Linked DNA regions of Drosophila melanogaster. The main gene of each other region encodes a partner of the protein of the gene in region 2 in a complex. Each region holds a gene or a part of one and is shown on either strand. Other genes may lie near its edges. The genes, in order: ph-p and Scm.

What was found.
Region 1: the proteins of Scm (region 2) and ph-p are in contact, whole or in part, in a crystal structure (PDB 1PK1), measured with the Drosophila melanogaster proteins. Residues at the interface, in NP_001247006.1 of Drosophila melanogaster: Asp819, Ser821, His825, Met848, Lys854, Leu855, Gly856, Pro857, Leu859, Lys860, Asn863; in NP_476871.2 of Drosophila melanogaster: Gln1537, Gln1538, Glu1539, Ile1540, Asp1541, Gln1543, Ala1544, Leu1547, Leu1548, His1552, Ala1556, Met1557.

Annotation. Positions count from the first base shown.
Region 1 is NC_004354.4:2,133,323-2,138,258, forward strand, and holds the start of ph-p (polyhomeotic proximal), read right to left. Parts: upstream 3,301-4,936; 5' UTR 2,730-3,300; coding exon 2,695-2,729; intron 1-2,694. UniProt on the Drosophila melanogaster protein: Polycomb group (PcG) protein. PcG proteins act by forming multiprotein complexes, which are required to maintain the transcriptionally repressive state of homeotic genes throughout development.
Region 2 is NT_033777.3:9,632,651-9,639,584, forward strand, and holds Scm (Sex comb on midleg), read right to left. Parts: upstream 4,962-6,934; 5' UTR 4,506-4,961; coding exon 3,960-4,505; intron 3,902-3,959; coding exon 2,984-3,901; intron 2,919-2,983; coding exon 1,887-2,918; intron 1,826-1,886; coding exon 1,688-1,825; 3' UTR 709-1,687; downstream 1-708. Other genes in the region: SpdS (spermidine synthase), read left to right, coding at 1-456. UniProt on the Drosophila melanogaster protein: Polycomb group (PcG) protein. PcG proteins act by forming multiprotein complexes, which are required to maintain the transcriptionally repressive state of homeotic genes throughout development.

The DNA.
Region 1 (4,936 bases), on a different chromosome or scaffold from region 2:
GGCAAACGTGGGCAAACGATGTTATTGCGATTTAAAAAAAAAAATTTTGAAAAAAGCGAAATTTTTGATTTTCGAAAATTTTCGAACTTTTTCGAAAATTCATATCTCAAAAACTGGACGTGGGCAAAAAAAACTAATTGGTGGGCAAACATGGGCAAAAAATGGGCAAACGATTCCAGCTTTCAAATTTCAAAAATTCGATTTTTCCGACCCCAGCTTCTTTGAGCTATAACAAAGTGATATCCGTTTTTTTTTTTTTTTTTTTTGTTTAAGCAAATATGGCTACTTGGTAAATACAAAAATCTGGTTTTAGTCATTCAAAAAAGTGTGAGACAAATGCGGGAACTAGCAAACAAAAACGCTCTTATTAAATAATCATATTTACAATGTAAACATAAAAGATGACTTTCGAGAGTGGCAGAAACAAACGCGGGAAAAGTAAATATGACTCTGAGGTAACGATCACCTTTAACTCGGGATAATATCAAAACTATAGTTCCGACTTAATCACAAGGTCAAGCCTGAAGATATGTACCATGTCATTTCAATTTCTAATTAAGAATTGTGTACCCTGGTTAACTTTTAGGTAGAGATCCCGAGCCCGATCCCGATCCCAATCCCTATCCCGAAAATATTCGTTCTTTTTGTGGACCTTTTTCCGAACCCGCCCTTTTTCAGCGACAATGAACATTTGGCCAACTACTTAACGGACTTTCGCATTCAACGAATGAAGAGAAAGGAGCTGCCTGACAGCCTTCGCATTTCACATCGATCTTTATCTATGGGTTTTCGAATTTCCATGAGCAGCATGGTAGTCGCACTCGTTTTCCACGTTCAACGTTCGACAACAACAGCCCGGAAAACTAATTTAGCCACGCAGCTGGCACCGTTCGATATTATTGTAAAAGGGCAATAAAGCCGATGCGAATTGCAGGCGAAGTTCAAGGACCTTTCCATCGAAATGCTAAAAATGCTGACAGTTGGGAGCAACACGAGATGGTTAGTGTTTTATACAGTAGTGCTCAAGCTAATAGGATTAGTGGACAAACGTAAATGGCTGAGTACTCCACATGGTAAGGATGTTTTTCTAGAAATAATTAACTAATATTACTTCCTGAATCAGTTCCCTGATATAGTTCAACTATGAATGATCTAACTGGAGAAGCGTGGTTTCAAGGTCCTATTGCATTGACCGCGACTGTGATGCCCGGCAGTCCAGAGAGCCTGATCCCCACCCCTTTCCATCGCCCAAAAAGCCCGCAAGGCCCATAAACAGCAAGAGCATAAAAAGCATGAGTGCAAAAAAGACAGAAAAAGGAGCGAAATGGGTTATAAAAGCCGGTAAAAGCATTTTGGCAACCCTCATGTCGCTGCTACCCCGTAAAAGAAAGGGAATATGGGGTGGGTGGTCCAGAGGGGTGGAATACTCGCCACAGGGTGGTGGGTGCGCGTGTGCAAGTGTGTGTAAGTTAAGCTCACGGCCGCACGCTGCGAAAAACCTCTTGAGAGAAAAAAAAAGACTGGTTTCCATGTCGCCATGGAGTAGGGTACATACATTCGAGCTCGAGTGTGTGAGAACCCCCGTAAAACAGCCTGCTTGCAATCGGGGGGAAAGCAGTAGCGGTGGGAAAGGAATGATCAAAATGCGGGGCAGCACACACACACACAGACACGCCGATAGGGGTGCGGGGGAAAGGTCGCGCTCAAATCAAACATCACCTCCAGTGGATTCGGGCGTGCAAAATGCGCGGGAGCGAGCGAGGAGGGGGGGGGCCTTGACAGCCTATTGATTGATACACAAACGAGTTCTGCAATCGAAGAAGATGAAACAAATGTGAGTGAACGAGATGAGGCTATGGCCAGGCCGTACACACAGTCACATAAACTCAGAGCGAGTGCGGTGTAGCGTAGGTGTAAACAGAGTTGTCAACTATTTATTTACAAAAACTGTTGTGCTTTAAACGAGTCTAAAATAATTTAATCATTCTGGTTTATTTTCTTGCCACGAACAATTTAAGTTTGTAGGTAAAAATTAGCATTCAGTGATAACGGACTGTAAGAAATATAAAAGTATTCAATAAAATTGAATCTTCGTTAAACCGGAACACAGATTTCTCAGATTCGTTACAGCTGACAACCCTAGACTGTTTATTTCGGCAGAGTAAAGCAAAATGTAAGCAGGGTTGCCGCAGCAACAACAAAAACTGATACCTTTCGATATAGAACTTTTGTTTTCTTTATGTTGCTTTGTTGCGCGAGTGAGAGAGGGTTGCACGGAGAGACGGAGAAATCAACCACCACCAGCCGACGCACACACACAAATGCAGACACGGGCATGCATTGCGAAATTCGTTGTTAAAAATGCAACAACACCGCACAGCGGGGGGCGTGTGTCGGTTGGATGATGAATGGCGGAGAGGGCGACGGAGGGGAAACTCGTTTTGGGTTTCATGAATTTATTTTCTTTTCTTGGCCCGCCAGTCGAGCGCATTTTATGATGACAGAGAGCACAGAATATCCACTCGCTGCATTTTTACGAGCATTATGATTAACGTGTCATTATTATCCGAATACGATATAGAATCAATATCCAATGCTCAAGAGCAGATTAAACCAAAAATTGTAAACAAAAAGCACAAGTGCAGGCAGTACAAAAGCAGTGATAAAAATAAAACCAAACTAAACAAAAAATACCTTTTTTGCATAAACTTCAATGCACGACGATCCATTATTCAAAATAAAAACAATATTTATAATAAATTATAGGTATGCATGCGTCGGCTTAGGCGTTTTGTTTTTGTTTTCGGCGGCGGCGGAGACACTCGTGGTTGTTTTTGTTATAGTCGGCATGGCGCTTTCTTTTTAGTCCTCAGTTTCTTCTCTTTTTGCTATTTGCCGTATTATATTGTACATTAACAAACACGCACATGTGTGAAGGCAATAAATATAAACATACAACAGGCAACACCAAACATATACATATGTATGTAACGTGGAACGCAAGACAACAAAAGTACACAAAACGAATACGAAAATCCGACAAAAGTCCCAGTGTCTCGTGTGTGTGTGTGTGTGTGTGTGTGCTTGCGTGTAAATGAGTGTTTCGTGCACGGGCAGTAGTAATTAGTACAACCTCCACTCACAGTCACTCCACTTCAACTTCTCCCCGCTGGCTGCAGGCACTTTTCTTTTTCTCAGTGTAACGACTAAGCACCTGTGCACGCGATCTTACATAAAATTAAGCCACAGTCACAGCACTAAGTACTTGTTTTAACTGCACTGCCTACGTCGCCAGCGACGATTCGCCAGCTAGGGGCTCCACTGTGGCGCGGCATCACTTTTTATGTCTGCACATCTGCACTAGCTAATCAACAGCACCGTTAGCTCTTTTTGAAAAAAATTTAACAAATTTGCAGGGTATCCAGTGAGTATGTCGCGTCGGCGGGTTTTTTCTTCGTTCAATACACATGCGATGCGGTATGCGACACATACGACACCACACCAACACGAACGCAGAGAGAGCAGAGCGCAAGAACCGTACACCGCCAAGTTAAGTTTCAAACTGAACCGCGCGCCACAGCGACAACTCTACTTTTCGTTCGGATCGGAAACAAAATGAGCGCATGTGCGCTGAATATGTGTGTGTGTTGGTGTGCAGCTGGATCCGCTTCTCTCTTCTCAGATGCCGTTGCGACTAATAACTTTTCTCTATACCGAAATGCACGGGTGCGAGTGCGACGCCACTAGGAGTGGCCCTGGCCAGTTAGCGCGTGCGAGAGGGATGCCGTGCGTTCGCTTGGGGTTGGAATGAAACGGCAGCAGTTCGTTTGACAAAGCAAAACCAAAACGAGTAAAAAAAACAGGAAGACTACAGCTGGCGGGCATGTGTATGCGTGCTCAACCACCCCGACTGAAAGCCCCCTTCCGTTGCTGAAAACATAACATGGTCTGGTGACTCGACTTTCAAATACCCCTTTTTCATATACCATTCCTCGCTAACTTCAGTCGTATCCTTAAAATGAAAACCCTTCTTAAATATTTATTTGTAAGTTATTGGTGCTGACTACTAACACAAATTCCAGTTAAAACCAAGTGCCCAGTATACCCTTTTACTTTGTGGGTACCGGGTATGTACATACATAAATACGCGCGAAGCCAGTTTTATGTGTGTACACTCGAATGTCTACCGCCCGGCCCGACTCGACAACGATTGTTGCTATACTTCATCTTCTTTTTTCGTGCCATCACAACCACCACCACTACGACTACCTTCCTACCTCTACCTCCTTTCTCATTCCTTCTTTTTCACATCAGATCGGGTCGGATCGGCTTTACCTTATTATTAGTTGTGCTTGTCAGTAACACACGGGTGTGTCGGTTGAGAAGGGGAGGATAGCGTATGCGCAGAGGCAGAGCGAAATCTTATTCTCTCCACCCCATTGAACAGTGGTAAGCGATCCATTATTATTGGATTGCTTTACAGTTGCAGTTTGAGAACCAAGAGTACAGTGGGTCAATTTTTTAGAACAGCAATTTTTCCAAACTTTTTATACATATAAACAATGTTACGATAAGTAAAATGAAAACGTTTAGTAAAATAGAATTATATAATAGACATACGTATTGAGTTGATTTATTAAGTTTTAAGTTTATTAATGTTTCAAATATCCACCACTCATGACCCACTGTGCCTGTCTTTGTCATTTCATTTTTCATTTTGTGCCAGCCCGTGCGTGTGTGCATGCACCATTTGTAGTATGTGTGCGTTGCTTTGGGCTCTTGTTGGTCTTCTTCTTACTCTTCCCACCTCATCCAACAACAACGTCGCTGAGCCCCACAAATGTTTTCATTCCGATTAGCTTTTTGTTGGCTTGTCTCGTCTCGTTTCCTTTTCTTTTTTGCTGCCGCCATATTATTTTTAGGCTTTTTAAGTGCT
Region 2 (6,934 bases):
AAGTTGAAGCTTACCATTGGCGATGGATTCGACTATATGAAGAAACACAAGAACGAATTTGATGTCATCATCACCGACAGCTCGGATCCCATTGGTCCGGCAGTGAGCCTGTTTCAGGAAAGCTACTACGAGCTAATGAAACACGCGCTGAAGGATGACGGAATCGTGTGCTCCCAGGGCGGTAGCTTCTGGCTGGACCTGGACTACATCAAGAAGACCATGTCCGGCTGCAAGGAGCACTTTGCTAAGGTGGCCTATGCCGTCACCTCCGTTCCGTCCTATCCCTGCGGCCACATTGGCTTCGTCATGGGCTCCCTGAACAAAAACCAGGACTTCGCTACTCCCAAGCTTGGAAAGTCCGAAATCGATTCTATAGACCTAAGGTACTACTCCTCCGAGGTTCACTCCGCCGCCTTTGCCTTGCCTCGATGGGTGCAGAAGCACTTTTACGAATGACCAGGTTGCGGAAAGATTCGTGTGTATCTGTTTGTTAAAAATAAATATGATAATAATATGACTTGTTTATCATCGCTTCTTAAATTCTTGGATATTTTCAACAAATGCTGACTCTTGCAATGATTCATTTTTAGTCGAATTTTTGTAGCCTGAGTATTTTCCTTCCAATCCGACTACCATCTTTCAGTTATTTTACTGTTGAAAATAGAACAAATTGTAATGTTTATTACGTAATGATATATACAGTTGGCTCTATTTAATTTTTGTATTTGTAAGTGGATGCTGGGTTAACATAATGAGACTTATTGCAATATTTTACACGACCGAATGTTACTCTCATTTATATATCGCATATATTGCAAAACTTTGAAAGGAAGCGTTTCTTATATGCAAAAATGACCTTAACTGCATGTGAATAATTAACTAAAAACTGATATTCAATTTCAATAACTTAATAGAAATTAAATCTTCAACCTGTTTAATGACTAATTAAATATTGTTATAGTTAGGAAACGCAATTGATACATAATTACAAAATTAGATGTAAAATATGTACAATCATTTAATATTGGTTTTTATTTTCTCGCCTATTCTAAAGTTAATTATCATTTCTTTTGTGTCGGATAGATTTTGGTGTCTAATGTGCGTGTTTTTATGTGTAATAAATATAATGTATGTGCATTGCGATTTTGGTAGCCGAGCTCCAGTTTTCGAAAAAGTCGAATCATTTTGTGTCCAATTGAGAACTATTTCACATTTTTCGAAATAGATGGATAAACTAATTATTGTGTGTGTACGAATACTCCACTCCTTTGACTGGGTAAATTTGAATAAACCTATAAAAATTCCTAATTCAAGTATAATAATTTTGTCTAAATAAATCAATTTGTAAATGTGTATTCCAAAAAAAGAATCACGAGCAGTTGGAAAAAAATTAATAATAATGGTTTTGAAAACCGGAGCTTGACTGTGTATAATTTGTTATGCGATTGATTTTGTATAGGGAATTTCATGTCTTCGCGATTACATTTGTTATAGCGTGTTTTATATTATCAATATAATAAAATAGGGTAGGGGTTTTTTCTTCATGAATGGCCAACACATAACACATCTATGAATATCGTTCATGTTTGCTTTGCTTTACGTTAAAGGGAGGTACTAATTTGTTAACAATTTCTATATAAGTCAAACCCGAACCGAGTCCGCTGCCTGAAACTTAATGTTTTTCTGTTTAGAGTGCCAGATTATTTCGACGACCATTGACCTTATTGACTAAATTGCAGATTTTTAAGGCTGGTCCTAGCTTCAGGCCCATGTACTTCATCATCATCTCTGAATTTAGCAATAATAAAGCTTTACCATCGATTTCCTACAGACGAAAATTAGATAAGTTACTTTATTTAAGGTAATTGGTAATAGCTACTACTTACGTGCTTTCGGAAGAGATCACCATGAACTGCAAGGGAGTTGTCGTTGCTCTCGATGTACTGGATCACCTCTTCGATGGTCCAGTCGATCGGCTGCGACCGCAGATGTGAGTTTGCCAAAGCAGAAGTGGGCGTGCTCACGGGTGAGGTAATCGCGGTGTAGCTCGGAGAAGCTCCCGCAGTTGCCGCTGCTCCAGCCGGCGCGGTGGCCGCCTTAGCCGCTGTAACTCCACCTGCAGCCAGTGCAGTGGACGAGGCTGACTGGCAGCCCGTGAACGGCGTGGACACGGATGTCGGCAACGAGGCGCTTGACGAGAGCGTCGTCGGACTCTTGTAGTAGCTATTCGAGGGCTTTACATTGGCCTGCTCTGGATGAACTTCTGCCACAAGAGGTGCCAGGTATTTGCCAATTGTGCTGGTGTTCGCCGATCCTCCGGCTAGGCTCGTGCTGGACGACGTTGACGAGCTGCTGCAATGGCTGGTAGATACGTGCGTGGTCTGGCTCGTATCCTGGTTTCCGTTTGTCGCAGAGCTATTCGTATTCGTGTTTGCGTGGTGTTGGAAGCGTACTTTGCGCAGAGCCTGCGTTGTGGAGGAAGTCTGCGCGTTCGCTCCGTTGGGCTCCGATTTGATGACCACCTTGTTGCTGGACTTGCTGGCACTGTTGTTGTTATTGTTGAGACTGTGATTGCTGTTTTGCTGGCTTGCAGGCTCCTTGCCATTGTTCGTCGAAGTTTTCGACTTGGACTCCACTGGCGATTTGACAGCCAATTCCTGCTTGATAATCTTCTCAGAGGGTGATGTCGTTGCCGAGTTGGATTGACGGTTTCGCTTGTCGGCGAGCACTGGCGAGGAAGGCGGTGTGGCTGACTGAGTCAGTTGACGCTTCCGACTATTGGCGCACTTCTTGCACTCCTCCGTCTCGTGGACCAAGGAAATGAGATTCGCACATGCCCGGCATGTAGTGCACAGCGTTTCGATGAATTGGGCGAGGCTTTCGTCATCCTTCATTCGCATTGGCGATGGTATTTTTACCTTTAAGAAACGAAGAGTATATTTTAAACATGCTTTTCATTGAATTTAATTGATCTTGAACTCACTGTGAAATTTTTCCCCGCTGCCGTCACGATATGAACATCTCCTTCCAGGGCAAACAGCAACTTTGAGAGCTGTTGCGTATCCGTGCTGGCAGCTAAAACCTCCTGCAGGCAAAGCTTGGCCAGCGTTTGGTAGGTGGGTCCCGTCACCATGCAGGGCAGTTTGGAATTGTTGATGAACGGACCGCCCTTGCAGTTCGGATGGAAGTGGGCTGTGGCAGGGGAAGCGGGAACCATAGCCTCGGACTCAGCTACAACAGTGTAGCGGGGTCGAGGGCATCGCTGTTTGCTAGAGCTGGAGTCCATGCGCGATTTATGGCCCGGTGGCTGCATGGGATGACAACTTCTAGCGCACCAGCCGGCGGGAAAAATGTCACGCGATCGGTAATTGCACCAGTAGTCGAATGCCCCTCGCCAACCATCGAATGTTACATGGATCTGATCATCCTTGATTGCATCTACTGTTGCACAGCAGATGAGCTGCGGGTTCTTCTTGTCGACAGCCTCGAGTTTCTGGCCCACCTTGAACAGGTTTTCTTCTGGCTCTGGCGGCTCTGGCTGGAAGATCTCTTCTGGCGCCACCATGGCATTGTTGAGGATCTTGCACAGATAGCCGGGCCAGCTGGATGCGTTCATGCGGAATCCCAGAGGCGGCTGCAGCATGCCACCGTTCTTTTCACAGTGTCCAATAGCATGGATCTCCGTAGAATCGACCAGCCGCCAAAAGTCATTCTGGGAGTCACTTCCATCCAGGCGTAGCCGCAGTCTGGAGCCAAGCACTCCGACCACGGTGGCAATGCAGGTGGAAGTGACGTTGCGCGGATCCAAAGCCTCCAGCTTCATTCCGATTTTAAAATCATTGTTGGGAGGATTCTGAGCCTGTTTGAAACATTTTGCAGGAGCAGCTTCGCTACCCGTTTCCTGGAAACCACAAAAAGTATGAGATTGGGGGTTAAAGCATTATCCCAGCTTGACTTACCTCTAGATAGGCATCCCAGTCGAAGACGTGGAAGCTCTCGTATTGAAAGGGCCCCGTTGGTGCGGGCGCTCCACTGGCCAGCAACTTGCGCTCGCTTTCCGCCAGACCCTTGCCCGATGCCGATCCGCCGCTGTGCCTGGTCGAGCAGTTCTTCTTCTGGTGCTTGTTCATGCACATGATCGAGCAGAACTCCTTGTTGGGCGCCCCATCGCGGATGACGTTGTCGCACTGGGTGCACGCCCCCTTGCTGTACGCCTTGCGGAACTCGGCAATGCATGTTTCCGAGCAGAACTCCTTCTTGCCGGTCTGCGTGGGCAGGACGTACTGCAGCGGTAGCTTGCCCTCGCCGCACCAGGTGCATGTGGCTCGTTTGGCCGGTCTACCTCGTTGCCGTTGCGTGGACGCGGGCGATGTTGTACTTCCAGGGGATGCGGATGTGGATGTGGAGGAGGCGGATGCGGATGCGGAGGAGGTGGCATTCGTACTGGCCCCTGGCGCAGCAGAATTGCTCCCGCTACTGGTACTGCTATCACGTCCGCCCGACATGGTTTCTCGCGTGGCTGTCCTAGTAGTCGCACTTGCTGATTCGCGCCGGCAAGCCCCTTGGCATCTCAGGCGATTTCGATTTCGTGTGTTCCGATCCGGCGGTCAAATCGCATTGCGGCTGCCTTGAATCATTAGCCACCAATAGCAAGTTTTGTTTTGCAGCACTAACTTTCCGATTTCTTTCGATTTGGCCTGGCGAAATTTTGCGGCGTTCTTGAGGTCACGTAATAACAAATTGGTGGCCAAATCGCATCGCATCACCCAACGAAAACAAACGCGAGCCGCACAATTAGTTTCTGGTTCACCAAATATCGAGCTTTATATTTAGAGCGCTGCGCGGATCTTGTTACTCGGTTTCAATCCGAAATTAGATGATTTTGAGTCGCTTAAACTCCAAAATGTTAGACTTTTTTTACTTTTACGCTCGGTTCCGCCATATTTGTTTTTCTAGTGGTGACATTCAGATCTTTGCGCATATCGATAGTTGCTTACCTGTGACAGCTCACGAAGCGATGAAAATAATCAACTAATGTGACTAATCGAAAAATGTTATCGAAGCAACTAAATGCAATTTTAAAATAACGTTAAATGGGAAATCACATAACTGACAATAAATAGTCAATTTAAAGAGCAAAGTAGATAATGCTCAATACTTTTACCACAATGTTGTATTTAATTTAACTGCTAATATAAATAAATATTTGTCATTTTTAAAAACGTAAGCCCTTATTATAGAAAAGAAATTTGGATTTCCTGTCAAAAATTGTACAGCGTAATGTAAAAACTATTTAGTCTAGTAAACTGAACCGTTTTGGTTTTGAGAATATAAACTTATAACCGAATTCCTACGTTTTAATATCAGCTCATAGTATTTCCCAGTAAAACTAACAAAACGCTCGTGAATCAAATTTGCACAGCATCAAGTGGGCGTAAATTGGTGAATAATATAAAAAGTCTGTAAATTTGAAAGCGCACGGCACACATCAGCCGAAAATCAAAAAAAAAAAAATGGGTTAGTCAACAAAACTAATATCTACCAATTTATAGAACGCTCTGGTATGTAAACATTTCCATTGAACTGGGAGAAATTCGCAATAAAGCGGTTCAGATAGTGGAAAATGGGTTGAACAAGGGAAAGTTTTGATATTTTAATAAAATCATGTATAACATAGGAAAGCGGTTTTCGTAATTACCAAAACCATGAAACAATCAATACTGAAATACAAAAATATGTTACTATCAAAATAATGGCTTATACGATTGGCCTAAGGCTTTATTAGGTCAAGCAAATTAATATTACTTGCTTACCTTTCGTTAATTTTATTTGCTGAAGAGCGTCGCAAATGTCAAGAAGTCTAGCAAATTACTAGAAATTACATAAGTGTGTTTCGTTTGCAGTAAATTCAGTAAGTCGAAAGCGGCTCAAAGATGAAACAAGTTGGAAAAACTTTTCTGGGATTAGCCGAAATGTATATTGGTCAAACTTTTTGGCTAACTTCTGCTGCTGTTTGATTTTTGTTCGCTTTGCCTAAATGGTCCGTAACTTGATTTAATTGATGTGCTTCAAAGAATAATCCGCTCACTTAGTCGCGTTTCAAAGATAACCAACTGGAAGCCAAATATTGCGGTCGAAAAACTTGATAACACTGTTAATTGAATGTTTTGAAGGCGGCGTGATGTCCCTCTTTAATAATCAATAAAGACATTCCTAATTATTAATGATTAAACTTGACCGAAACCAAGTTCCCTGACACTCACACAATCGTCAAATCGCGCATAATTGGATGGGACCATCGGCTGCCCATAACAAGGATAATTGGATGAAATGAGGCGGCTGCCTTTTCTGCTCCTCATTAAATGCCCGTTTACCGTTTAGTCGCCTGTCAAATCCTTGATGGGCTATTAGAAAAAGGGGTGTCCAGAGACGAGTTCTTGAGTCATTGACTTGTTACGCAAATTGGACAAAAGAAATTTCTGGCTCCGAGTGGGCACTGGAGTGGGGATTGAACTTAATAAGCATATTCATTAATGGGTGTACAGAACCAAGTACAAGGTTGCATCTTACACCCTTATGGATATCCTTTCCTTCTTGAATCCCTAAGCAAAAGTAATCAGGCAAGTAGCTAGACTTTACTAGTTGCTCTATTAAAAATTAAAAGTAAATTAAAATTGCCTCGCACTACCAAAACAGCATTACAGCTCGCATAAAAGCACGTATAAATTGGCGGGAGTGGCATTTTGACGGAATTCAATCAGCCATAAAGCATCCTGCTGGGCAGGAAATGGAGGCGTTTGCCTACGTGCTTAATTACAAGCCGACGCATGCACATTCTGCATACATAAAAGGCGAAGACACGTGTTCCAAGCAATTAAAAAGTATGTCAAAGTGGGTGATCAACGCGCCCAAGGACGCAGGACAATTGCGAATG